4 linked regions of the Astyanax mexicanus genome follow. The protein of the gene in region 3 interacts with the protein of the main gene of each other region in a biochemical or structural test. Links are inferred from orthologs where the notes say so. Each region holds a gene or a part of one and is shown on either strand. Other genes may lie near its edges.

Region 1 (7,392 bases), about 47 Mb from region 3:
AGAACCATAACTACAGATAGTCAGCTAAACATTCATAACAAGGTCATTAGCAGAAGACACTTTAATCTTTATAATATAAACGGAGATAACACACTAGACATAGCTCTTCATTGTTTAACCCTCTATCCTGTTATTCTTGTTGTTGTCTATATATTGCAATACATTTGTTTACAGCAATTAAGCCCATTTTAATAAACTTTAGAAGAAGTTTCTTCACTCTCTGGTAAAGCAGGGTCATTACCACACATGGCTAGCCTAGGGGTTAAAGAAATGTATTTATTTAAAGTTATTTTTATTATTCTCAAAAACCTATATATCTTACAGCAAAGAATTCAAAGTTAGAACAGGACCAAAACATATGAAGAAGAGAAAATATTTTGCATTCTTGGGCAAAACAAATCAAGTCAACATGTCTTCTGTGTGGATAATCATCTCAAAAAATATATATCTTCTTTTATTGGCCACCCCTACTTTAGGGTATAGAAAGTAATGGAGGGAGGCTAATCCTGGAGTCATAATTATAATTTCAGACGTATTACCACCCAAATACTGAGCACTGCAATCATCCTGCCAAGATATAAACTCTCATATTCACGAACTTGTGGAACTGTGGAATTATTTTCAGTTGCTTTAACCGCAGCCCTTTCTGTTGTTGATCAGCTCAGTGCAGTGTAACACCACAGCATTTCAACAGAACTGAATCACGGATGTCTGCTGATTTATTTCTGGGTCTTGGCTTAGTTGTTATATGGACTAACCCAAATTCTTTTGAGTTTTAAATCACAAAGTGACTTTCTAACATAATGCCACAGAATTTGCAGATACAATTTAAAGTACCATTTTTAATGATCCTGTGCTGTTCAGACTGTGGAGCTTCACCACAACCTCACACTCTCTCAGCCTCGCCTCACAGTGGGGATTTTGGTGTCAGTATTAGATTCTAAACAAACAACACTATGTTTCTGTTGTGTTAAACACATACTGTTTGTGTGTGTGTGTGCGCACTCTAAAAAGGGATTTTGTGTTCTAGTCAGGAGAACTAATATTATCTAATATTATCTAATATTATCAATAAAAAATATGATTTAAACCAACTTTTAGTTATACTACACGTGTCAATGCTATTTTCATCAGTGTTGGTTCGTACAGCTTTTTTTTTCATAGGCTCCTGGCACCATATATTTGCATATTGGGTGTGGCCTCTCCCTTACTTACCATCTTTGTGTTGTCTGTTGCCCAAGGCTACCTTATCTTAGTCGTGCATTAGTATAATATATTTGTTGATTGCCAGGCCTCAGTGTTGTAGGCTGTAAGAGCAAGTTACCTCTATTCTGTGCTCCTAGTTGTCACAGTATGTGTTTTACTTTCAGTAGTGGCAGTTCTATAAAAAATATCTTAAATATGTTGAAAATACCTATATATATCTTAAATAAACTAAATTCTTTAAGCCTGCAAAACTGCTGAGCTAATTAAACTATTGTTTTGTGAACAAAACTCCGTTAGGTTAAATAAACATAACTGATTAATCTGTTATCATTTAGATTTGACTCAGTGAAGTTGAATAAACATAAAATTGTATGTATTTACAACGTAACTGAGTAATATTGACTTGACTGAGCTACGTTGAGCCCATGAATATTTTTCTACAGTGTGTGTGTGTGTGTGTGTGTGTGTGTGTCTTTCACCATTCCCTTTATCAATGTACTGCCCACCTGTTCTGTCTCTCATTGTGCGTCTTTCATGCACTGCCCTTTCAGAGGCTTAGCCAACGGATAACCTATAAAGAACATACGAGAGAGAAAAGTAGAAAAACAGAGAAAGAGAGAGAAAGCAGTATTGACTAGAACAAAACACTGGCATGGCTTGTACCGCTCCATCCACTTCCATGCAGGTCTCTAAAGCTTACTAATATCCAGTATTTGTCACAGTATATCTAAAACTGTACTCTATTCACTATAAAGTGCACCAACTACACTGCCTGGTCAGAAAAGTCTCCACCTGGATGTAAGTAAGTAAATTATGTGGGGTTGGTTGATGCTGCAGTTGCTCTGCAGGTTTAGGTTCAGCAACAGTATGTGCTGATAGAATGAGGTCAGCTGACTACCTGAATATACTGAATATAGACCAGGTTATTCCATCAATGGATTTTATATTTCTTCCCTGATGGCACAGCCATATTCCAAGATGACAATGCCAGGATTCATGGGGCTGGAATTGTGAAATAGTTCAGGGTTCAGGGAGCATGAGATCTTCATTTTCACACATGGATTGAAAGAGTTCCCCACAGAGTCCAGATCTTAACCTCATTGAGAATCTTTGGGATGTGCTGGATGGAGAAGAGCTGCTTTGTGCAGCGGTTGGTCAGACTCTACCATCATCAATGCTGCTGCAAGATCTTGGTGAAAAATTAATGCAACACTGGATTTAAAAATAAATAATGTGACATTGCACAAGCTTATTAAAACAATGCCACAGCGAATGTGTGCCGCAATCAAAGCTGAAGGTGAGCCAACCAAATATTAGAGTTTGTGACCTTTTTTTTTGGTCATGCAGTTTAATTAAACCTGTTCATCTAAGCAGAAAAACTGGATTAAAAAGTGCAGGAGTGATTTTTAATGCGATTCTTTTTCTGTCAGCCCTTACTGCAAGTTACACTTATTGTTGTAAAAAAGCTAAAATATGGACTGAAATGCTCTCTGATTTCTTTGTGCTGGTACTGAGAGAGAGAGCGGGATCAACATGTGGTATTTCTTCACTCACAGCAGCACAGTGTGGTTTTTTTTTCTGTTGCTTGAAGACTGAACTTTTTTTTGAGGCCATTGCAATGCTGAGCTCTACTTACAATGCCCTTCTTTGTTGGTTTTGTGGCCAAAAAGCAGAATTCTAACAAACACATCTTATCAAAAGGCTCTAAACCTAAAATGAGAACTGTTCAAAGGGAATATCCTTTAGCTCAGTTGTTTCATATATTCACCTAAGGCAGTCCTGGGAACCCCGTACATGTTGGTATCTCTGTCTCTCAGGCAGTAGTCATGGGCAGTGGGCCTGCTTTTAAAACCAGGTTTGGAGACCAATACTCTAACACACCTGACCCAATAGGTGACAGATTTGTTAATTATTAATGAGGTAAATGATGTGTGGGATAGAGGAACCACTTAAAAATGGGCACAAACAATATCTGTGGCCCACTTGTGTACTAAACACTAATACTATAAATAATTGCTAACATGTTTATCTTAAAACATTGACTTATATTATTGCTTTGACTGGAACAAATCTATACTTAATGACAGTAAATATGTAAAATAGCTTCCACATCTTCCACATTTAAAACACTGGAGAGAGCACAATCTGAGCTCAAGGACTTCAAAGGCAACGTCTAATCAGATTTGTAGTTACATTGGGTCAATATTAAATCACGTTTCTGTTTCATATTTCTGTCAGGCTGGTTCCTGTCACCCCTTCTAGGGATGGGAATCACAGGGCATCTCACAATACAGTATTATTGTGATGTATTTCCCATGGCAATGATGAAATCATCATACTGGGATTAGAATAAAATACTCCTAAATAAGCAAATATCAGGAATTTGTTGGATAGAATTTATTGGTGTCACATAGCAACACCATAGCAACCATCATGAACACCTGAGGAACCACTTAGGGGGGGCTAGGGAGGGGGGTTAGATAGCTTGGGGGAGTTGATTAAGTTGTTAAAAAATAAAGAATGTTTGTTAATGTAACATTGAAATTGATCAATAAAGGAAAAAAAGACCAATATTTATTTATTTATTTATTTATTACATTTTTTTAAATCTTTGTTTTATTTTATATTGTATTGCTAAGGAGAGCACACTGAATCTCAATGTCCTTGTACAATGACGTTTAATGTCAATGTACAACATTTAATGTCATTTTACAAGGACATCGAGATTCAGTGTGCTCTCTTTAGCAATACAATATAAAATGAATCAAAGATAAAAAAAATAACTAAATTAATTAATTTTCTCTTTTAATTCTAGATAAACGCTTAGTTATTAAATGCTGCTATGACTTTTGTCTACTTTTGTCCCAAATGTACTTTTTCCTACAGAATGGACTGTCCTTGAAGTGCTTCTTTTCTCAGTTATCAGTCAGTTTACTACAGAACTGACTGATAAAAAAGTGATAAAAAAAAGGTGAAGGTTGATGGTATTTCACAATTTTAAGCTGTTTTTAATGATAACAGTACACACTTTACACTCTGTTGTGCAGCAGTGACAGCTCCAGGCTCCTGGAAATGTGCACCTCGGGGACAATGGACCAATGGGCTGCGAGGGAACACGCCCTGGGCCGATAGCGAGCTGCGCCCTCGCGGGCAGCTGGGCGGCGTCCTTCATCTACAGCGCTGCCGGCTGTCTTTACGATGCAACAGCAGCAGCGCGAGAGCAGCAGCGCGAGCGCCTCCGTCACCTGCTGATTACCATGTGCACGCGGGGAAGTTACACAACAGTTTATGAGGAATCTGTTCAGAAGTGAGGAGGAAAGTGAGCGAGGCAGCGCGCGGATGAGCGGGTGAAGCTCCGGAGCGGATAATAATCGATATGGAGCCCGTGGGCAAAGATGTGAAGACTAATCCGGCCGCCTCTGCTAATATTGTGTCTCAGATACTGTTCTGGTGAGTGAGCTAGCCGGTTACTGCGGGCTGTGAGAGTTTATATAGGTTAGCTAAGTGTGTATGGAGGCTGTTTTAGGCTACTGGGGAAGAAATAACCTTTATAAAATAAATACTGAGGAATTATTTTACCTGGACATAACCTATCTAACATATGTCAGGAAGTTCAACTGAGGAAATTAGCTAATTAAAGTTAATAAGCTATAGGTTAGCTAACTACTAGCAGAGGCTAATGAGCAAGAGCTAGCCAGATTAGCTAAACTAAAAGCTAGCTTACTCATACAGCAGCAGCAGCAGAAGGAAAAGAAGTAACGTTAACGTTTACAGTGCAGGCTGTAGTTACTATTTTTATTCATTTATTTTTATTTACTCACACACGTGATCCCCCTCCCCTCTTGGCTACAAAATCCAGTGACTGACATTAACTACATAACCTAACTAAAGTTATCTGTCTATAAAGTTGTTTTTGGTTCTCAGCATGCATGTGCTTTTTCTGTAGGGCTAAAGTATAACAATGTTAATAATGTCATAAAAATGTAATTCAGAATTAAAAACGCTACCTGAAATTTTCCACTACGTTACCTTTAACTACAAAAGTTTAAACTTTTCCAAAGTCTTAAAGTCTAAACTGGATCTGTAGCTAATGTATTTATTATAGTAAATACATAGTTACCTAACTTTTAGTGCTCAGATTTAGTTTTGTATTAGCTAAATTAGCTAATTGGTTAAATAGGTTCTCTAGGTAGGTTATTGTTGGTTGTCAGCTTGACTCTTGATTATGCTTTTCCTATAGGGACTCACCTTAGCTAGCCTTTAACAACGTTAATAATGTTATAAAAATGTCATTAATAACTAAAAACGCTACCTGGCACTTTCCCACTGCCTTTAAATACAAAATTCTAAAGTTTTCTAAAGTACTAAAGTCTAGTAGCTAATGTATTTTTTATAGTAAATACATAGTTACCTAGCTATTAGTGCTGATTTATTTTTGTATTTGCTAAATTAGTCAAATAGGTTCTCTGGGTAGGTTATTAGTTACCTTACCTGGCTGTTGTTCAGCTTTACAGTTGCTGGTTGTCAGCTTGACTCTTGATGATCCTTTCCTAAAGAGAATCACCTAGAATCACTAGTTAGCTAACTAGCTAAATAGTTAAATAACTATGTTTTTATAATGCCCTAAAACACCAGAGAATGGAATAAAAGAAAAAGATAGAATGAAAAGAAAGGTCATTTTTTATTTCAGATGTATTTTTTTATTAGTTAGCTAACTAGCTAACCTGCCTGCTGTTGACCTTTTTACAGGAAAGTAAACATCTCACAAAAGCACAGCTGTTTCCCTTTGCTGCCGTTTTTAGCAGCATTTGAACTTGAGTTTCATCTCATCATTTTATCTAATAAGAACGTAGACAAAAACAGTAGCTGTGGGTCATTTTACATTGTGAAACATTGGCTTTTTTGCTAGCTTTGCTGCTGTTGAGAATTTTCACTTTCAGTTTCGGGAAGCCCTGTGCTGTGTCTTCCTTCTCTTTTTTTTTTTTTACTCAGCTGGCTGAACCCCCTGTTTCGCATTGGATACAAACGAAAACTTGAGGAAGATGACATGTTTAAAGTGCTTCCTGAGGACGAGTCGAAGAGACTGGGAGGGGAACTTCAGAGGTATGTAAACAAATAAAGCTGTACACAGGACACAAAAAACATCACCCATGCTTAGAATACTGAGCTGCTCTGCTTATCCATGTGTTCTTAAATAAAGTCTTGATTTGTTTATGTCTTGCTGTGTTTACTAACTACATTGGGAGGTACAAAGGTTATACTTCCTGTCAGTCCATTTAGTTGCTAACCAAATTTTGGTTTGGAAATGTCAGTCCTATTAAATGTTCAAAGTCTATGGTGGTGAAGTGTGAATAGTGTTACTAAATACTGTGGTTTTTAATGCATGCCAAGGTTATTGCTTAATGCGGCACCTCAGAGCTGTTTTTATAAGGCTAGTGGAATGGGAGCTGCAGGGAAAGGAAGCATTTTCACACTGTCAGTACATGTTGCACTGACATCTATAGCATGTGTGTGTGACATGTAATGAAGGAACAGACGCTTGTAATGTTTGTAGAGCCTGTGTGCCAAGGGTGGAAGTATGGTTGCGTCGGATAATACAATCAGTTCACTTAAGCACCTGCTGGGGCTTCATGTGGAAGAGTACCAGGAGCTAATGCTACCCAAACCAGAAATGCAATAAAGTTTGATATGGTTAAAGGAATTGAGCCCAGGCTTAGGAGGGTTTTTATTTGTTCCTTCTCACAGTATTGGATTATTTTCTTTGTCAGTCTGAGTATTTGGCAATTGGCAGTTGAGGCAATAGAACATGAACCATGAACACAGTGTTATGCTGTGCTTCTGGACCATGTTAAGCCAGTATCAGATTGTCATGGTTGTTGTTGGGTTCAGGACTTATCATCTTTTATCTTATTTCATCTATTACATGTATGTTACTCATCAGAAAACCCAAAAGCTAAAGGGCAGCAGAGTATATACACAGGGTCTAATGCAGTCTGTCAAGGAAAATGTCAGAAATGTAGTGGAAAATTGCTATATCTTTTTGTACATCTGAGTTACAACTTATTTGTAGTTTATTCGGTTAGTCTCAGTTAGCGAAAAAACAGCCAGTTAACTTTTTTAGCCATTTTTAAACATGCTGGACTGTCTAGTATGTGTTCTTGCTCCTCTAATCATAATCCGCCCATC
Region 2 (7,078 bases), on a different chromosome or scaffold from region 3:
ATTGACACAGAGACACAAGAACAACAAACTAAATAAACCACAATAACCTAAATAAAAGTAGGATTTGATCTGAAAACATTTGCGTGATTGGTTTACTGATAAAATCACCATATTTAGCTGCTCTGAGTAGAGACTGCTCCACAATTTCATTATGTGTAACATCACATCATGAGGAAAAACAGAATAAAAGTAAATGTAAAATTAAAGTTACCATGTCTTTAAACAGCTGTAACATAACATTTAGTGGTATAAAGTGCAGCTGGAGTCACTGTGCATCGTTCACTATTCACTATTCAGCGCACTTTGCACAAGGAGAGGCTGTTAGGAGAGAAATGCAGAAGAAGCCTTTTTTGAGCACACGCCACAAACAGAGTCACTTCAGGTATGCTAAAGCTAAAGCACATTTAGACAAGCAGCTTCATTTTGGAATAAGGTTCTGTGTGTGGACTGATGAAACTAAAGTTGAGTTAGTTGGAGGGCGGTTATTTATGCATGGAGGAAAATAAACACAGCATTCCAACACAAACACTTTACTGCTCCCCACAGTAAAATTTGTGCCGGTTCCATCATGCTGTTGGGCTGTGTGGTCAGTGTAGGTACTGGGAATCTTGTTAAAGTTGAGGGTTGCATGGATTTCAGTCAATATCAGCAGATTCTTGAAAACAATGTTGAAGAATCAGTGAGAAAGTTGAAGTTAAAGCACCGGGGCTAATGGATAATTCAACAAGACAATGACCCTAAACACCCTAAACACTGCTCAAAATCTACTAAAGCACTAAAGCATTCATACAGAGGAACAAGAACAACGTTTGGAGGCTGTTATTTTTGCATTTTGTCATTTTTCTGGGTGCCCAAATGTATTCATTTGTCTAATTTTTGCACACTTTCTGTAAATCCTATAAACTTCATTTCACTTCTCAATTATCACTGTGTTCATCTGCTATATGATATATTTAACTAAAATTGCTGATCCAAACAACCAATGAGTGAAAAATAAAAAAAGTGTATGTGAGGGAATGGGGGTTGGGTATTGACGAAACCATTCACTGAAAGACTTATGTTGAAAATATGTTGGTGTTACACCCATGAATTACACACAAAAGTTTAGCCACGCCCACAACTGCTTACATTGTTCACTAATTGCTGGTGCATGCTTATCAAATTTTGTTTGGGTGGGATTCTCCTACCTTTCCTATTAACTCCTGGCACCATCTACAGTGGCGTAAAAAAGTATTTGCCCCCTTACAGATTTCTTTTGTTTTTTTTTTTTCATTTTTGTCATACTTACATGTTTTAGATTATCAAACAAACTTTATCAGACAAATATAACCTGAGTAAATATAAAAAAGTACTTTTAAAATTATGATTTAATTTATTAAGAAAAAAAAAGCTATCCAAACTGTAATTAATCACGCTCAAATTTCACTACTAACCAAAACCAGGACTGATTACTGCCAGACCTGTAGAATCAAGAAATCACTTCAATAAAACCTCATGACAACATGAAGTAGATAAAATACCTCAAAAAGCAACACAACATGGAACAGAAAACATGGAACACTGGTGAACCTTCCCAGGAGTGACCGGCCGACCGAAATTACTCCAAAAGGGCATGAAGAACTCAGGATCTCACTAAGCCTCAGTTAAGATCAGTGTTAATAATTCAATAATAAGAAATAAGAGACTGAGTAACTAGTTTATAAATGAGTTTAATAATGTTATTAATTGGGTCATAAACCATTAATAAGCAGTTATAACACATTAACAGAAAGGGCAACAGTGGCCTACCATGTACCAAATAGGGATTCCACATTTGTTTATACTTTTAAACCTCAGATTTTACTAGATGCTTATCTTACTTTGCTTTTTCCATCATTCATCATTAACATTTAATAACAATTAACATTAAATGACTAAACTGACCTTCTATATTATTTAATTAGATATGTTAAAAAGGTCATTTTCACTGTCATTTATTAAGTGTTTATGAATGTTTTTACAGTTTTTACAACATAATTTATAATCATAAATAAAGTCCTTTCTAAACTATTTATAAATCCTCTATAAAAGAAGCCCTATTTTAAAGTGGTACAAGTTAGTTTTGTTTTTTAATAAGTATAAAAAGGTTATATTGATTCAATAAATTATTATTGACTATACCTTACATTTTTATATTAAAAAATCATGCTGGTTTAACAAGAATACATTATTACTTCATTATGTGCATTAATGATAGAAATGTATATATTTTTCAGTGGTACTTCTTGTGAAACCAGTGTTTCCAGTTCCCATCCAACACCAACTTTATCTTTGATCAAAATGAGAACAAACTGTTCTCTTTGAGAAGCTGGGTCTTGAGTTTGATACATGAGATTCACATGAAGATCCTTTTATAAATAGTTTCGGTTCTTATATTGAGATTTACTCATAAAACATTGAGAAACTCTGAGGATCTGTGAACACTGAGGGATTGACCAACTTTGGAACATTACACGTACACAGTGACATGCAAAAGTATTCATCCTTTTAATTTTGTTTTTTACATTTTGTCACCTTACGACCACAAACTTAAATGTATTATGCATGGTTTTCAAAATTTCAAATAAATTAAAATATGTAAAGTGTGCCTAGAAAATAGAAAATTTAAATCACAATTAAATACATTTGAATTTGTGGTGGTAAGGTGACAAATTATGAAAAAGTTCAAGGGGTATGAATATTTTTGAAAAACACTCTACAGGTAATTGATCATGGGTAAGAACTATTTAAGCATTTTAACGAACAAACCTTCTTTTTAAAAGGTGGAACCTCGAATCCCAGTCATGCAGCTTGCCATTGGCTACCAGAGCCCTGAAAGAGCACAGTTGGCCTTGCTCTCTCTGGGTGGGTACGGTAGATGGTGCTCTTTCTCCTCATCACTCCTAGGGTGATGTTGATCAGCACAAGTCTGCGTCTTGTCTTCACATGTATCGGAGGAGGCATGTGTTGGTCTTTACCCTCCTTGTGTTGTGGCATCACAAAATTCAATGTATATATATTTACTATGCTAAAGTTTTAGGCACCAAAGCAAATTACACTAATCCATTTTCTCAGCAATATGAGTGTTTTCACATATAAAAAAGCACCACATATGATTTAAACAGATGCAAATAAACACAAATACAGGAAAACGTAACAAGAAATTCTCATTTTTAACTATAAGTATATTATATCCTGTGAGCCGAGCTGAAGAACAAAGTATAGAGATTCCAGATTTCTCCTGTATCCTCCTGCTCAGCCAGCATGTGTATATTATGTCCAGTTCCGTCAGCAGCACACCTGATTTACCACATTTACAAATTTACCAAACCAGGTGTTGATTAATATGATGAGAACTAGAAATGTAACTCTATTAAACTCAGATTAGGAGAGACTATGAGATGATTTAAGGAAAACTGTAATAGTTGAACACTGCTGATGCTGCATAAAACTGTGCATAGGTACTTGATCATTAAGAGGAACCCATTAACCATCAATGTCTTTAGTCTTATAGAAAAATTAAGTTTAATATTTTTAAACAGTGGAAGATCCACTGAAACACTTTTAAACTTTTAAAACCATTTGAAAAACCTAAAGGTTCTCTATAGTGCTCTGAGCAATCACTTAACCAGAAGAAGAGCTTGTGTGTTTGAATGTGGTTTTCTTTAGAAATATCACATTTTCTTTCTTTTTGTTTTAATTATTTTTATTGCAGATTTTGAAGGATAGAAAACAAAAACTCACAGAAAGATAAAATAACATGAAGTAAAACAGAAAATAATGGTGCAGAGATTAAATAATGATAAATATGCCAATATAAGGAGATATACCAATATAACATAGAAAACAACAACAAAAAAATACAAATTAAAAGCCAATAACACTTAAAATTCACTTAAAATTACTTTGTCTAAGGAACCTTTAAAGAACCCCGTACGCGCCTGTGATTCCCCTCGCGCGCTCCCCCGCGCGCTTCCCTCGCGCGCGCTCCTCCTCCTCTTCCGCTCGCGGGTGGAGCGTCAGTATCTGCGGGTATAAGAGCGCGAGGAGACGCACCTGCCCGGGAGAGCGCGCGCACACCGCGGAAAGGAGCACGAGACAGCATGCCGGTGAGCTGCGTGTACCGGGGGACGCTCGCGCACTCCACGCGGGACACTCCGCTGCAGATCCTCGAGGACTCTGTGCTGGGGGTGGATCACCGGGGGAAGGTGCGTAAACACGCAGCGCTGACCTGCAGCACGTGATTAATCATATATACATATATAACTATATAACTAAATATCATGGTTGAAATATGGTAAACAAAGTTAAAACAACATTTAACGTTAAATTGTGTTAAAATATTAACTTTGAATCAACATCATGTCCTCAACCTTCTGCTTTTTGAATTAGAATTTAACATTTCATCACCATATAATTTCTAAAAACGATTGGATGAAGGAATGAAAAAGTGGTTGCAAGTTTTAGGTGCAAATGTTGAATTTAGGAAGTCAGGACACTTATTTCATCATCTTTACGTAAATATAAGTTAAGACTACTTGATGCAAACAGCTCAGCTCTACATAAAACGTACACACCCCTGTATACAGTATATTTTGGAAAATAAGATAAATGTAACCATATATGATGTACCAATAGTTGAATACAAACATACATACTGTAGGTATTAATAAATATAACCACTACTTTTTCTAAAAAGGGGCTATAAAATACCTGATGCAGCAACTGTATAACAGAGAAATAATTTTTAAAAAGAAAATTAACTGTATTTACTAAAATAGTTAAAAAATACTGAATTTTTTAAACATCGGTTTTTCTGTATCTCCTGTCAGCTGACTGTCAGCTGCAGATGTCTGTTCTTATTCTTAGACCACAGTGTATACAGCTCAGACTCAGTAGGCCAGAATATTAAAATTTTATACATTCAAAAAATGTTATACATCTGATCAAATGCATCATGGGATTGGTACTTAAAAATATGTGTCACAAATAACTTCTAAAATGATTAAATTGTTAAGTAATGTCTAAACTAATTATTAATTGACACTTGTAAAGACGGTACTTATCACAGTTTACATGGTATAAGCTACCGTCATCTTTCACCTAGGGCACTGCGAGCTAGTAATGCTTTAATAAAAGAAAAATTGCCTATAAAAGCAACGTATGCAATAGAATCATTGCAATAAACTTAACTAATAGAGATTTTAAAGAATTTAAAGAACATAAAGTTTTAAATACGTAATTAATTACAGGGAACAAATTACCTTAAATGATTTTAGTAGACTTAACTTATTAGGGTTTACAGATTGAACCTACAGGCCACTGTGGTTGGCTCTATGGCTGGGCTTATTTAGGTTAATTCTAGTGTTATATAGAGTTTGACAGGGTCAATACTGCACAGCACTGTATACTCATGAGGCCTAGATATACAAGACAGCTCTCTTTCTGTACAGATCATACAGTGAGACTTTAGTCTGTGGTCACAGCGGCTCTGCTGCTGAACTTGCTGGAACAACAGTAAAGTGACTTTGACCTTAGATATCAGCCCAAACAGTCTACTTTACCACTGCGTGTTTCTGAGGACCAGCAGCTGTGTGCTGAATTCAATATGTATTGGAAATGAGGGTTTAGGCTTTATTATATTCAAGTATGTGTATACCTGTTACGGTAATTATTACATATATATACACTTATAGTATAATAATATATGGGTGTAACCCTAATATAAAACTGGACTGAACTCTACACTGTTCATTATGTTTATTTGTTGCATGAATTTTAGCAGAGAGGTTGATTTTAGTCAAAGTTAAAAGTGCATTTATGGTGTCACGACTGGCTCTAGGCCGTGACAAATGAATGGAAGACACACAGTGTTTAAATGGCAAAAAATATAAATTTAATGAAGAAATTAGAAAAAGGTTCATGTCCAGACATTTATAAACAAAAAGGCGGCCCAAAGAAAACCTATGTATCAACAAAAAACAACTAAAGCATAATGTCAAACAGAACCAAACCAAGCAGGCCCAGAAAACTGAGCTGCCTGCAGCAAACAGAACAAAAGAAAGGCCTCCCGCAGCACACCTACACAGGTGCATATATTGATTAGGTCTGTAGCCCCACCCCCTAACACCCAATCAGGGGACAGGCACGTCACACACCCCCCCTTAAAAAAAAAAAAAAAAAAAAAGAAAAAGAAAAACAGAACTCCAACAGCTTTGATCCAGTCCTGCCAGCTCCATGTTTCAAGTCCACTCCACACAACCTCCTCATTCACCAGTCTCCACCAGCAACCCTGGCGCCTAGGAAGCAATTTAAGGTAGAGCCAAGAGGGAGAGAAAGCAAAAGAGCAAAATTAAAACACTGGAGAAAAACAAGACAGCAGCCTGAATTTATTTACCCAGTGGACCACGGGACAGGGCATCAGCAATTACATTATCCTGGCCCTTGATATGCCGTATGTCTAGGTGGTACCCCTGTAAAAACAGACACCATCTCATCAATCGCTGGTTCGGATTCTGTAAAGAATGCAAAAAAGTCAAGGGGTTATGATCAGTATACACTAGCCGTACAAGCCGTACCCACATAGACCTCAAAGTGTTTCAGGGCCCAAATTAGGGCCAAAGCCTCCTTTTCTATTACAGAATAATTCAACTGGTAAGAATAAAATTTTCTTGAGAAAAAACCAACAGGGTGATCAACCCCATACTCAGAAGCCTGCATCAGAACTGCCCCAGCACCAACATTGCTGGCATCAACCTGCAATTTAAAACACTGATCCAAACGAGGTGCGGCTAAAACTGGAGCGACTGTTAGAAGTAGCTTTAATTCCTCAAAAGCTTGCTGACAATTTGGAGTCCAATCAAACTTAACTTGATTTCGTAGCAAATTAGTAAGGGGTGCTGCCACTACTGAGAAATTTCTGCAGAAGGCACGGTAGTACCCAACCATCCCAAGAAAACGCATCAATTCTTTTTTTGTGACTGGAGGAGGAAACTGGTCAATAGCTTGCACTTTCGACTTCAACGGGCACACTTTTCCCTGCCCCACAACCATTCCCAGA
Region 3 (7,515 bases):
TGATACAATGTAAAGTAGTTGGAGTACAGCTCCTATAACAGTGTAAATGAATGTATAAACTAGTTGCAACCAAAGTGAGTACATCCTTACATACAAACTCCCTTCCCAGTGTCATGTGACTCACTAGTGTTACAAGTTGTCAGGTGTGAATGGGGAGCAGGTGTGTTAAATTTGGTGTTCTCGCTCTCACACTCTCTCATACTGGTCACTGGAAGTTCAACATGGCACCTCATGGCAAAGAACTCTCTCTTTCTCAACTATGAGGAACTGAAAAAGAATTGGAGCTCTAAAATAAAGATGGCCTAGGTTATAATAAGAATGCGAAAAAGTTGAAATCAGGCTGCAGCATGGTTGCTAGGGCCATCCAGCGGTTTAACAGGACAGGTCGGCCAAAGACACACAAAAATATATACACAAATGTTTTCATAAAATTCTGTATTCTTACCAAACATCTACTGCTATTGACTCAGCGTTTGTCCTTGCTACTCGTTTTTAGGTAGTATCAACATGCATTCCAGGTGTCAGTGTAAATCTGTGAGCTATGGTCTAGAATCTGTGAGCTAAGCCCTACTGATCCACAAACATCTACTAGCAGAGTAACACTGGTAAAGCTCTACGGATGACCTTTCCATGTGAGAGCAATCCTTTTGCAAAGGGCAGTCAACTGCAAACATGAACTGCACACAGTTTTAACGTATTGTATTTGTCCTGTGGTTCATTTTGATGCATGGTTAAGTGTATATTGCTTTATTAATAACACATTAGACTAAGACCTATTAGATAAGGTTGTTCTAGTTAGTTGGAAGAAGACCTTACTAAGTTCTACTAAGTTTTTGTTCTCAGTTAAAGGAGGTAACAAGTCGTTAATTTTTAAACAAAGTCGTTTAGAATGGTTTGGTGTGAAATGCCAGTTGAGAAGCAACTTAAATGTTCATAGCTCTGGTGACAGAAACCAGACTTAATAATAGACTCTAATAAAAAAATTTCCCTTTCACAATGTTTTGCATTTAATGGTTGTGAATACAGTGCAACATGCCTGAGACACTGTTTAGCAACAGGTTTTAGATCAAATTTATGTTTGTCCTAAAACATATTTCAATTTTAACTTTTAGTCTGTGGAGAATTCATGGCAGGTATAATGAGGCCTAATAAAAAGCTTATAGTCTTCAGTTTGTAGTTTTTAGTTTTTTTACCCCCAATAGTTTCCAACTGGAATTCATTGATTTGTAGATTTTATAAAGCAGCTGGTGGTTTTGTTCGGTCAATAAAATTGGCTTTTTTTTTATTGGATTGATTATAATATCGCAACCCCTGGTCCCTGTCATTACCACCAAGTTTTATCTTAAAAGTTAGAAATTTCACTCTAGTCTACTTGATTTTGAATGATTTTGTCTAAGCTACAACTGTACATACCTTTTTAGAAAGAAGTAGAGTTAAAGGAGAACTATTGACTTTAAGTGTAGTAAAACATGATAAAAAGTACTTACATTTGATGAACAACACACCTCCGTTCTTCCGCAGCGTTCAGAGATCCAGAAATTGTAACCGTTTGTCCAAACTCCCTTCAGACAGGGTGACATTTGGCATAATTTTCCCCCTATAAATCGCTTTTTCCACCCCTCCTTGCTAGAATCCGGAAAACCCTGACATTTAAAATGAGGCATTAATAACTTAAAAAGTGCACAAGAAGCTTATTAAAAACCACCGTTTATATCCTATAACGCTTGCTTCAGCTTCGAATGCCGCCATCACATAGACATATATATATATACATAGATTCCGCACAGCCTGTCTGCCACGCTGCTACAATATGCGAAATCTAAGTATATATATGTCTATGTTATTTTCAGTTCAGTGATGGCGTGCTTGGAGCTGAAGCTAGCATTAAAGGATGTAAACAGTGTTTTTTAATAAGCTTCTTGTGAACTTTTTAAAGTTATTAATGCCTCGTTTTAAATGACAGGGCTCTCTGAATTCTAGCAAGGAGGCGTGGAACTACTTTGAGCTGGATAACGGTGGAAAAATCGATTTCTTATCGGGGAAATTTTTGCCCTGTGTCACCCAGTCTGAAGGGTGTTTGGACAAACTGTTAAAATGTCTGGATCTCATTCATCAAAGGTAAGTACTTTTTATCATGTTTTACTACACCAAAAGTCCATTTTACACCGGAGTTCTCCTTTAAGTATGGAAAACACGGTAAGTTGTTTTAAAAAAAAATCTAACATTTCTAAAAAATGTACAAGAAGTGTCTCTAGATTTCTTTCAAAAAGTGTGTGACTGTTAAGAATACATACTAAAAGCTGTCATTATAAACAACCATAAATCCTGGATTGGACTGATTTACCGACTTCATTTGCTGCTATAGCTTTTCTATGGGGAGCTACACATACTGGACAAAGTTATATCTATTAATATCTGTTTCAGTTGAAGCCTAAATCTGTTTTAAAATGTAAATATAGTCCTTCTGACCTTCCTTTCACACTTATTGCCCTTTAACAAGCTGCTACTTCTTTACTTTCGCAAACAAAAAACAGTGTTTCAATGTTTAAAATAGTTTCTTCATAGTTGCGCCACATTTTGGTTTGCTCAACTTCTTCACCGCATCGTTTAGTGATATTCTGAGACATTGGTAATAGTCTAGCTGAGTTTTTCTTTTGAGAGATCTTACCTTTAATGCTGATTCCGAGTCCCCCGACGTCCTGCTTGGTGACCCTCACTGTGCGCTTGACGCTGCTGATGTGTTCTGGGACAGAGGGGCAGCACAGGCTGCTCGGTTCCCCGTTCAGAGGCGCCGGGGCTGGGGCTTTGCTCTTAGCCGGCTCCTCGTTGGCCTCGGCGGGGCTCACGGTGAGCGCGTCCCCGGTCAGAGCCGCCAGGACGCGGCTCCAGCGCTCCACCGCCACGCGCAGCTCCAGCAGCCCGCTTTTGGGAGCCTTCAGCGCGGCCGCCATGTTCACCACGCATTCCTGGAATACCACAGCACGGGCTGGCAGTCCCGTAAAGAGATAGGGGTGGAGAGAGATGCCCAGAGATAGACTCCAACCCCCTCTCTCTCTCTCTCTCTCTCTCTCTCTCTCTCTCTCTCTCTCTCTCTCTCTCTCTCTCTCTCTATCTCTCCCTCTCTCTCTCTCTCTGGTTGATCTCCTAATTGAGATTTAACCAAGCCTGTTCTGTTAACCCCTTAGGCTAAACAATACATGCACTGTAAAAAAATCCAACTTAAAAAAGTTTTAATCAATATTTTAACCTCGTTGATTAAGCAAAAACACATTAAAAGGTAGGGCTGTGTTCCAATTGCATGCTAAACACTACTATAAGGTGCAGTATATAATATATACTAATCTTAATAGTGCGGTTTTGACTGGTTAGCACCCCAAATGTTAATGTATTACTTTAGTATTAGTATTAATTCTGCACTAGAGAGAAATCCCCAGAGATAGGTTAACCCCTTGGGCTGAACAATACATACACTGTAAGTAAGTAAGTTTTAATACATTTGTTTTACCATGTTCATTAAGCAAAAAATAAATAAAAACTAAAGGCTGTGTTCCAAATGCAAACTAAACAATACACACATTGTAAAAATCAAACTTGAAAAGTTTTAATCAACATTTTTACCACGTTGATTGAGCGAAAAGCCATAAAAAGTAAGGGCTGTGTTCCAATTGCATACTAAACACTACTATACACCACTATAAGGTACAGTATTTATCCTTTTTTGTTTTCTCTTGTTGATCTTCTAATTGACATTGACCAAGCCTGTTTTGTTAACCCTTTGGGATACACAACTTAAGAAAGTTTTAATCAATATTTTTACCATGTTGATTGAGCAAAAAGCCATAAAAAAGTCTGAGCAAAAATACAATAAATTACAAATTGAAAAACACTGTAGTGAAAAGTTGATAATGAAATAATGAGTAGCCCAGCTTCATTTGCCCATTTCATTTGCATTCTGAAATACATTGCTTTAACCGACTCACAAGTAATGCTTTTAAGAGAAAGTTGCTTTCTTCAAATATTAATAATTTAGTATTATATATTAGACCTGCATTGCACCTATTCTCTTGATTACATGGAGTAGCTGGAGTTGTAGTGCAATGTATAAACCACACTTTTACCCTTGACGCATTACTTATCTTTCGCATAAATGCGTCTGCAGTGGAAAAATCCTGTTTTTACACTGGAAGCGTAATGATAATGGTGGTCTGAGAGGTGCTTGGCCTAGGAAAAGGGGGCAGGTCAACCAAATAAGCAGGGGTTGATTGCAATTTGTCAACGTGGTGGAAAGTGTTTTGTTTCTATAGAACAAAAGGAAATGGAACTACAGTGTTCATGTATACTAAAGTAATTGATAGGTACCAATCATGCTTGGAGTGCATTTCCTTCATGGACAGTTCTATGCATGCATTTCTGGACAAGCTGAGAGATATGGTGGCATCTGAAATTATGTGAAGCATGTGGACTTAGGGGGTAGAGTAATATAACAGAAAATTATTACAGAATTTTACACAAATATGATTGCATGACGCAGTTCTGGAAGAACACTTTAGACTGAAGCAGTAGTGCTCCAGTCTAATGGGGCAATTCTGTTACAATCAGTGGGCCCATGAGCCCACCATAAAAGAACAAACAGTAGAGAAACACAGGATGGTAAATATGCTTGTAAAAACGTGTGTCACTCATTTACTAATTACACTGTTTGCACTGTTACCTTTGTTTAAGTTTACTTACCCAACATTAATGGTCCACTGTAATATGTTAAGGTGGTACAGAATGTGTCTATTCAATTAATTAATATTCAATTACTATTTTATGTTGCCTGGTTTAAACAACCCCTCTATGAACCGTACTAAAATTATTTAATTAAATAAGTAGGCTGTGTAAAACATTGTAACACTACAAATTGTAACACTATATTTAAACTCACCCTGTCCCGTGGAGACAGTACTGTAGCTTTGTTAGCTCTCACTGCTGTGAGAATAAAGAATCATTTCCAACTAATGCAGTATAAAAGGTATAAAAGGAGATTAAAACAATATCTGTGTAAATAATGAGCCCTCAGTACATGGGCCTTGATTACAACTCAGTAATCAAAAAAAGCTATTTTAAGGTACAAACAGTCCTCAGAGAGAATCTTAAAAAATAGCTGTCCAAATATGGTCAAACTCCACAGACAATGTTTGTATGGGAACAGGAGAAAACGAGCAAAAGCAGGTTCTACTTAAAATGTGTCTACAGAGGGAGTTTAAAAAGCAGGTAAACTTTAAACTGTTCAGAAGAGGATTTTAGTAGAAGGTATGTTGTGATTGGTTTTCTTTATTTTGAAGCTGTATCATATATATATATATATACCCTTGGATATATATCCATTTTCCCTTTCTGTTTAATGAGTCATAAAACACTGTCCCAATTGCATACTAAACACTACTATAAATTACAGTATATATTATGTACTTAATTTAATAGTGCATTTTTAGCAGGTTAGTACCACAAATATTAATGTGTATTAACAACCTGTCGTATTTGTTTATATATTCCCCTCCCTTTTTGCATTTATATACACTATATTGCAATAAAAAAAAAAAAAATTGCTCACCTGCACCTGTAGGCTTGGATGGAGCTGTTCGGACATGGAAACTCTCCATTACATGAGTCTCGCTACTGTTCTCTACTGTTGTTGATCTAATCTGAAGCTACATGAAGTTTGGAGGTGTGTAGTGATGTAGTGACTCTTCTGTAAATATTCTTTTCAATAACCATATGTACTTTTAAGTTTTAGGTTTTTGTGACTCAGAAAGGGTTAATGTTTTTAGAATGTTCTATCAAGTTTTCTTGATTTTTAATTAAAAAAAATTAAGCATTCTGGTAACATTGCTGCAATGTCACTGGTATCAATGTATTAATTTATAGTTTGTTTTTTTTTTTACATTTCTGTAATGTTAGTATTTGTCTATTTGAGAACACTATGGGATAAATGTTCTAATAATGATGCAAACTATTATTATGTCACATGTTTTCATAATGTTCCTGGAACCTTATTTCTGGAACTTTATAGTCTAACCTTCTTGGAACCTTACTAAATGTTCTTATGTTCACTGTTAGCTGGGTACTGTGTTTGGGAAGGCCTACACCTGTATAAGTTGTGAGGTACTATCTTGTAAAAGGGTGAGGCTGAACATTGGTCAAAGTGCTCAAGGCCAGACCTAGGGCAGCTCCAATCCAGATACTTTTAATCAGCAGAAAGCATGTTGTCTCTAGTAAAGTATAATCCAGAATTATACTAATTTAATCTATTTTAACTTTTTTCAGACTTTAAGTCACGTAAAATCTCTCTGACGTGTGGAGGCCGGTCGTTCGTAAAGAAAGACGCAGAGACAAGATAAGAACTCACTGTGTCCATCATCTGTAATCTGCTGGAGTCGTCAGACCGGAGCCCTCCATGGCCATCTAAGAAGGAAAACATGACGATATCTACTTTAAAGCCCATAGTCAGGAGACAGGAGAGGATCTGATTTATAACAAATAACAAATATAAAGAATTAGAAGTCATGCACTGTAAAATTGTCTACCTGTAATTTATTTTACTATATATTTTACAATTTACCATTATTATATTTACTTTTTATGTGTACAGTATTTTACACTGAAACAATGTTAAAGTTGTCTTTTTTCTGGCTTTTATTTCTAAAATTTCTGAAAGGCTCATGATCAGCTTTTCATTAGGACTGTAAATTATTCAGATTGTTTTATTCTGCGGTTAAACTTGATTCTCTTTTGGGATTGTAACAGTTGTATATTAGAAATGAGTGTTTTTAATGTTTTAATGTTGTTGCTGTGGTTAATAACCCAACAAATGTGTAATAATATAGTATAATAATGTAATTGAAATTGCTTTGTCTTTTTGGTCCTCCCCCACCACACATAGTTTACTTTTCCTTTTCAAAACCAGAAATCTGGCACCATGATCTTGGTAATAGATAGATTTTAATGTTTTATTATTATTATTTTGGTTTATTTGTTTGTTTCCTGGTCAGAGAGTTGTACAAAGTAGTTACACATAGTCTACAATATTTACTGTAGTTACAAAGTTTTCATTTACATTTATTAATCATTCTGATTGACCTTTTGGTCAAAATGTTCTTCTTATGATTCTGGCCACTTGTGGTGAAATCTCCTACACCCTCAGATGATCAGATCATTTGATTCGACCCCTTCAGGATAATGGCTTATGTAAGAATGTGATTTTCTTACTAGCTGATTTATTGAACCTAATCAAAATAAAATGTGACAATTTTGATAGCTTTGCAAGATTTGTACTTTTTTATTATAATATAAAGTTTACTCCTTAATAATAAAAAACATATTGCAATATATGAATATATGAATTATTGATTTTTTTTGTCTGCATTTTGTTCTATAATAATTATACATCTAATCCGATGCTAATTTTTAAATTGCCATAACAATTGTCTTAAGTTTTTTTGTGTTTTAAGAAGAGGAAGTTGGCGAATTATA
Region 4 (7,708 bases), on a different chromosome or scaffold from region 3:
AGCTCCATCCATCTGTTATCAACCCCCAGAACCTACTAATCTAACCAGCACAGCTCCATCCATCTGTTATCAACCCCCAGAACCTACTAATCTAACCAGCACAGCTCCATCCATCTGTTATCAACCCCCAGAACCTACTAATCTAACCAGCACAGCTCCATCCATCTGTTATCAACCCCCAGAACCTACTAATCTAACCAGCACAGCTCCATCCATCTGTTATCAACCCCCAGCACCTACTAATCTAACCAGCACAGTACCATCTATCTGTTATTAAACCCCAGAATCTACTAATCTAACCAGCACAGCACCATCCATCTGTTATCAAACCCCAGAATCTACTAATCTAACCAGCACAGCTCCATCCATCTGTTATCAAACCCCACAACCTACTAATCTAACCAGCACAGCTCCATCCATCTGTTATTAAACCCCAGAATCTACTAATCTAACCAGCACAGCACCATCCATCTGTTATTAAACCCCAGAATCTACTAATCTAACCAGCACAGCACCATCCATCTGTTATTAAACCCCACAACCTACTAATCTAACCAGCACAGCTCCATCCATCTGTTATTAAACCCCAGAATCTACTAATCTAACCAGCACAGCTCCATCCATCTGTTATTAAACCCCACAACCTACTAATCTAACCAGCACAGCTCCATCCATCTGTTATTAAACCTCAGAACCTACTCATCTAACCAGCACAGCACCATCCATCTGTTATCAAACCCCAGAACCTACTAATCTAACCAGCATAGCTCCATCCATCTTTTATCAAACCCCAGAAACTACTAATCTAACCAGCACATCTCCATCCATTTGTTATCAAACCCCAGAACCTACTAATCTAATCAGCATAGCTCCATCCATTTGTTATCAAACCCCAGAACCTACTAATCTAACCAGCACATCTCCATCCATTTGTTATCAAACCCCAGAACCTACTAATCTAACCAGCACAGCTCCATCCATCTGTTATCAAACCCCAGAACCTACTAATCTAACCAGCACAGCACCATCCATCTGTTATCAAACCCCAGAACCTACTAATCTAACCAGCACAGAACAATCCATCTGTTATTAAACCCCAGAACCTACTAATATAACCAGCACAGCTCCATCCATCTGTTATTAAACCCCACAACCTACTAATCTAACCAGCACAGCACCATCCATCTGTTATTAAACCCCACAACCTACTAATCTAACCAGCACAGCACCATCCATCTGTTATTAAACCCCACAACCTATTAATCTAACCAGCACAGCTCCATCCATCTGTTATTAAACCCCAGAATCTACTAATCTAACCAGCACAGCACCATCCATCTGTTATCAAACCCCAGAATCTACTAATCTAACCAGCACAGCTCCATCCATCTGTTATCAAACCCCACAACCTACTAATCTAACCAGCACAGCACCATCCATCTGTTATTAAACCCCACAACCTACTAATCTAACCAGCACAGCTCCATCCATCTGTTATTAAACCCCAGAACCTACTAATCTAACCAGCACAGAACAATCCATCTGTTATCAAACCCCAGAACCTATTAATCTAACCAGCACAGCACCATCCATCTGTTATTAAACCCCACAACCTACTAATCTAACCAGTACAGCACCATCCATCTGTTATCAAACCCCACAACCTACTAATCTAACCAGCACAGCTCCATCCATCTGTTATCAAACCCCAGAACCTACTAATCTAACCAGCACAGCTCCATCCATCTGTTATCAAACCCCAGAACCTACTAATCTAACCAGCACAGCTCCATCCATCTGTTATCAACCCCCAGAACCTACTAATCTAACCAGCACAGCTCCATCCATCTGTTATCAACCCCCAGAACCTACTAATCTAACCAGCACAGCTCCATCCATCTGTTATCAACCCCCAGAACCTACTAATCTAACCAGCACAGCTCCATCCATCTGTTATCAACCCCCAGAACCTACTAATCTAACCAGCACAGCTCCATCCATCTGTTATCAACCCCCAGCACCTACTAATCTAACCAGCACAGTACCATCTATCTGTTATTAAACCCCAGAATCTACTAATCTAACCAGCACAGCACCATCCATCTGTTATCAAACCCCAGAATCTACTAATCTAACCAGCACAGCTCCATCCATCTGTTATCAAACCCCACAACCTACTAATCTAACCAGCACAGCTCCATCCATCTGTTATTAAACCCCAGAATCTACTAATCTAACCAGCACAGCACCATCCATCTGTTATTAAACCCCAGAATCTACTAATCTAACCAGCACAGCACCATCCATCTGTTATTAAACCCCACAACCTACTAATCTAACCAGCACAGCTCCATCCATCTGTTATTAAACCCCAGAATCTACTAATCTAACCAGCACAGCTCCATCCATCTGTTATTAAACCCCACAACCTACTAATCTAACCAGCACAGCTCCATCCATCTGTTATTAAACCTCAGAACCTACTCATCTAACCAGCACAGCACCATCCATCTGTTATCAAACCCCAGAACCTACTAATCTAACCAGCATAGCTCCATCCATCTTTTATCAAACCCCAGAAACTACTAATCTAACCAGCACATCTCCATCCATTTGTTATCAAACCCCAGAACCTACTAATCTAATCAGCATAGCTCCATCCATTTGTTATCAAACCCCAGAACCTACTAATCTAACCAGCACATCTCCATCCATTTGTTATCAAACCCCAGAACCTACTAATCTAACCAGCACAGCTCCATCCATCTGTTATCAAACCCCAGAACCTACTAATCTAACCAGCACAGCACCATCCATCTGTTATCAAACCCCAGAACCTACTAATCTAACCAGCACAGAACAATCCATCTGTTATTAAACCCCAGAACCTACTAATATAACCAGCACAGCTCCATCCATCTGTTATTAAACCCCACAACCTACTAATCTAACCAGCAGAGCACCATCCATCTGTTATTAAACCCCACAACCTACTAATCTAACCAGCACAGCACCATCCATCTGTTATTAAACCCCACAACCTATTAATCTAACCAGCACAGCTCCATCCATCTGTTATTAAACCCCAGAATCTACTAATCTAACCAGCACAGCACCATCCATCTGTTATCAAACCCCAGAATCTACTAATCTAACCAGCACAGCTCCATCCATCTGTTATCAAACCCCACAACCTACTAATCTAACCAGCACAGCACCATCCATCTGTTATTAAACCCCACAACCTACTAATCTAACCAGCACAGCTCCATCCATCTGTTATTAAACCCCAGAACCTACTAATCTAACCAGCACAGAACAATCCATCTGTTATCAAACCCCAGAACCTACTAATCTAACCAGCACAGTACCATCTATCTGTTATTAAACCCCACAACCTACTAATGCACTGTTTGTCTATACAGATCTACTATAAATGTCACTAAAATGTCCTAACAACAACTTATTTTTTTTTGCTCCTTTGTTGAATTAGTGTTATTATTTAGTATTCAATGTTTGATTTATTTTGAATAATAATATTTAATAATAATTAATGAATAACATTTTATATAAATAAATAGTTTTAATTAAACATTTCATTATAAACAATACTATTATTTTTATTTAGGACAGAAAAAATAAGTTTCGTACTGTTTAATTAAAAATACAATTGATTACTACTCATTTTATTAATTTTGTATAGTTTTATTAACGAATTAATTAATTACCATTGTTAATTTTACATCCAGTGGGGTATAAAATAAAGGTCTTTGCGAAAATTTGAATTTTATTATAAGAAAATTGGTCTTATATGTGCTTATTTTCTGAAACAGTAGATCAATATTCTACACTTTTATACACAGTCACATAATCTACCACCTGACTGAAATTAAGGAGGAACAGAAGATCTGAGAACATCATTTCTGAGCACAAGGTGGCAGAATAACATCTTCAGACAGAGAGAAGCGGATTTCTGCTCTTCTGTTCAGGCTGGTACATCACCGAATCCTTTAGGACACGTGAGGACGCAATAGAGGGCAGCAAATAAGGCATGTTTTCCGATATGTTTTTAAAACCCTCGTTGCCCTCTAGTTCTACTAGTGCTAAAAACTGATTATTACTTTTATGTAAAAAACTAGGTGAAACTTCGGCAAGTAAAAGGGATCCTCTGCACTGACTGCAAGTCATGTCATACATTGTTCTGTTGTCAATATATATATAATATACTTATATAACAATATAATATACTTTTTCGTTTATGTTTCAAATGCATTCATCTTCTTTTTACTATACCTTTTTATTTACCAATGTTAATCTTTATAATACTTAAAACATATCTTTTCAGTGTTTTTTGTGTCGTACTGGTTGTAATGGTTGTATTTTTGTTTTGAGTACATTTATATTAGCTGTAGATAATAAATATTTAGTCTAAATTGTTCAGATTTTCTTCACTAGACACTGGTGTAGGTTTGGCAGTTGGCTTGGGGCTATTCAGACTTTTTTATTACACGCTTAGAAAGTTTATACAATATACTTACACTAACACTCTTCAGTCTAGACTTCATTAATCCTTCTGTTACTAAATAGATTTGGAGCGACTTAAAGCGCGTGGTTAATATTCCGGGCGTGGCCTGATTAATATTCATGAGCGCGAGCTGACAGGCGCGCGCGCGCGGGGGGAGGAAAAAGTTCGAGTTTCCAAACTTTCCACCGAGCGGATTCTCCAGCAGCAGCAGCAGCAGCGGGACAGCGGGGCAGGAGGACCGGGCCGGATAACCTTCAAACTCTCATTTAAAACTGTTTTATTGTGTTTTTGTTTTGAGTTAAAACTTTTTTACACTAAAGACAGAAAATCACAGCAGCGCTTAGCCGCTGGGGAGAGCGCGGGTCGTGTTTTTGAGGAGAGAGCTCCAGCACTTCTTGGTTCCCCCCGTCCCAACTTTTCTGTTCCGCCGAGCGAAATGAGCAACAACCCGGTGCAGCCCCTGCCGGGCCAGCAGGTCATCCATGTGGCGAAGGACCCGGACACGGACCTGGAGGCGCTGTTTAACGCGGTCATGAACCCGAGGCCGAGCTCCTGGAGGAAGAAACACATGCCCGAGTCCTTCTTCAGGGAGCCGGACTCGGGCTCCCACTCCCGACAGTCCAGCACGGACTCGGGCAGCGGGCCGGCGCGGCTGCCGGTGCAGCACGTCCGCTCGCACTCCTCCCCGGCCAGCCTGCAGCTCGGCCCGGGCACGGGGACCGGAGCGGTCCCGCCCTCTGCGCACCACGTCCACATCCGCCACCAGTCCTTCGATGTGACCGAGGAGCTGCCCCTGCCCCCCGGCTGGGAGATGGCCTTCACTTCCAACGGCCAGAAATACTTTCTCAAGTAAGTACAGCTTAACTGATAGGCAAAGAACGTTAAATAGACGTTAAATCTTTGTTTGCATTACAGCTTGATGAGTTGATCATGGATAACTACATTTAAACAAACTTTATTTAACTTTCATCAATAGGTTTATTCAACATCATCAATAGGTTAGCTAGTTTTTCTACACTCACACTAAGCTACTATTAATAATATAATTGTTGCTACTTAAATGCACCTTTCTACACTTCAGCAGTAAAAATAATAGAAAAGTATTTTATCTCAAGTAATTTCAGACTTAAACACAAAGAACGTTTAGTAAAAACGTTCGCATCTCAACTTCTAGTGCTGATGATGGAAAAACAACATTAAAACAACCTTTTGTTTACGTTTGCACCATAGGCTTCAACAACAGGTTGGGTAGTGTTGGAATTCTGACGTTGAGGGAACGTTCATTTTAACAGCTAAAGTTTTGTAGGGTTTGGGCTGAGCTCTTCTACACTCACAATTAGCCCAGTGTTAAATGCATTTAGGCAAAATGTCCCTTTCTGCTCTGCAGTGTAGATTTAAGTAAAGTTTAACACGAACAACAGATTTAGAATCATAACGTTGAATTAGGGCTGGGTGATATTGTAAAAAAAAAAGTTCTTAGATAATTTAGTTTTTTTGTTTGTAAACAGGCAGCACCATGTAAGGTGACACAAAAGAAAGCTATTGTTTCCTTTAGATTCGTAAAAAAATCACTGCCACATTTAAGATAGAAGCAAGTCTATCTGAAATAAAATTGAAATATGAACGTTGATTCAGCATACTTTTGCTATCTGGCTACTGTTGTGTGATTGGAAACTTGAGCCTTAGCAACAGCTTAATGAGTTCTAGCAGCTTAGGGGGGGAGAGATTTGGCAACCTGTGGGGCCTAAAAACAAAACCTCAGGAGAACTGTACAGTGATTTACAGTGATTTACTTCATAACTAAAATGTAATTTGACCATCCTTGCTGCTGCCACATGTAGAAGACCTGTTCCATTTAGGTCTGCCTCACTTTTGTGGTTAATAGGGTTACAACTAATGATTATTTTAGTGGTTGAATAATCAGTCAATTATTTTTCAGATTACTCAAATAGTAAACGATTATTTCTGCTGCCCCATTCATCTCTGCTTCCTGTGGGTACGGCTCCTGTTCCTTGCTTTCTCTATCACTTCAAAACAATAGAAACCGCTGAATGTGGGATTTAGATGCTCTTTAAATGTTCAGATGATGTTTAAAGATGAAAAGTTTTGATGTTTACTCACTATGTATGTAATCTGTTGTGTTAAGTCACTTTTGGTGACTAAACTAAGTGTGAACCAAGTGAGTGAGCAGCACTTAACCTCCCCGTGTTTTTGTGTTCCTGTCCCCAGTATTTTGTATAGTGCATTTGTTACAAATTAGTTGAGATTTGAAATGTGAAATTCTTATAATCAACATTGTTGATTTTGTCATCTAACCATTGCTGGCAACTGAAAAGCTCAGAAGTGCTGTACTGTGATTTACTTTGCATTGTAATTTGCCACACATAGTCAGCTGTTCCACATTTAGGTTTCACTAGTGTTGTTAACACAGTTGCCCCAAATCTCCCCTTCTTTCTCCAGGGGAGAATGATGGGTGATGTTTAGGATTGAAACAGTAGTAATAAATAATATACACTCATGTCAGCTATAAGTTTGATTGAAGATCTGTGGTGTGCCCACGCAACAACCTAAGGACCTCAAATTCCGATTATTTCCGATGACGTGATTTCCGATTTCCAGTTCTCATGAGACTGGAGACTGTTTTTTCATGAAACAGTAAACTATTAAATCTGGTAGAAGTTTCACTCAAAGCCTCTATCACTGCAGTAAGGCAGCTGGTGGGTTCAGTTTGGTGAGTTTCTAAGTTGAATGAAACTACCTTAACGTTCTTTTGTCCTTTGGTGTTGTTGTAGTTTCTTGCTGATTTCTGGTCAGGTAGGCATGTCAGATAGAATCAGATCAAATAGATTTATATAGCATTTATTTGTGTTTACAACTAACACTGTAACAAAGCGGCTTTAAAAGTATACAGTATTAGGACAAAAGATCAATACTGTGCATTATCAGAGGTGAAAAAGTACTGAAGAATTGTAATTAAGTAAAAGTACATTTACTTTGCTAAACTTCTACTCAAGTAAAAGTAAAAAGGTACTCAATTTAAAAAGGTACTTTGAGTAAAAGTTACATAGTTACTTTTAAGTATGTGATGTAAAAAAGTACAACAAATAATAAATTAAATCGGTTTTAATGAACTATTAATTCCACATAATAATTTGGACCTTTCAGGCAGTATTTGTTCAGACC

What was found.
Region 1: the proteins of snta1 (region 3) and abcc4 form a complex in vitro, tested with the Homo sapiens proteins (2 studies listed by BioGRID and IntAct, with this or other methods). The link is inferred for Astyanax mexicanus from reciprocal best matches to the Homo sapiens genes SNTA1 and ABCC4.
Region 2: the proteins of snta1 (region 3) and gda interact in a test that uses a peptide from one of them, tested with the Homo sapiens proteins (2 studies listed by BioGRID and IntAct). The link is inferred for Astyanax mexicanus from reciprocal best matches to the Homo sapiens genes SNTA1 and GDA.
Region 4: the proteins of snta1 (region 3) and wwtr1 interact in a test that uses a peptide from one of them, tested with the Homo sapiens proteins (2 studies listed by IntAct, with this or other methods). The link is inferred for Astyanax mexicanus from reciprocal best matches to the Homo sapiens genes SNTA1 and WWTR1.

Annotation. Positions count from the first base shown.
Region 1 is NC_064412.1:55,549,196-55,556,587, forward strand, and holds the start of abcc4 (multidrug resistance-associated protein 4), read left to right. Parts: upstream 1-4,391; 5' UTR 4,392-4,582; coding exon 4,583-4,656; intron 4,657-6,198; coding exon 6,199-6,309; intron 6,310-7,392. UniProt on the Homo sapiens protein: ATP-dependent transporter of the ATP-binding cassette (ABC) family that actively extrudes physiological compounds and xenobiotics from cells.
Region 2 is NC_064429.1:8,214,660-8,221,737, reverse strand, and holds the start of gda (guanine deaminase), read left to right. Parts: upstream 1-4,074; 5' UTR 4,075-4,121; coding exon 4,122-4,226; intron 4,227-7,078. UniProt on the Homo sapiens protein: Catalyzes the hydrolytic deamination of guanine, producing xanthine and ammonia.
Region 3 is NC_064412.1:8,278,700-8,286,214, reverse strand, and holds the start of snta1 (alpha-1-syntrophin), read right to left. Parts: upstream 3,023-7,515; 5' UTR 2,952-3,022; coding exon 2,669-2,951; intron 1-2,668. UniProt on the Homo sapiens protein: Adapter protein that binds to and probably organizes the subcellular localization of a variety of membrane proteins. May link various receptors to the actin cytoskeleton and the extracellular matrix via the dystrophin glycoprotein complex.
Region 4 is NC_064423.1:915,799-923,506, reverse strand, and holds the start of wwtr1 (WW domain-containing transcription regulator protein 1), read left to right. Parts: upstream 1-4,694; 5' UTR 4,695-4,961; coding exon 4,962-5,374; intron 5,375-7,708. UniProt on the Homo sapiens protein: Transcriptional coactivator which acts as a downstream regulatory target in the Hippo signaling pathway that plays a pivotal role in organ size control and tumor suppression by restricting proliferation and promoting apoptosis.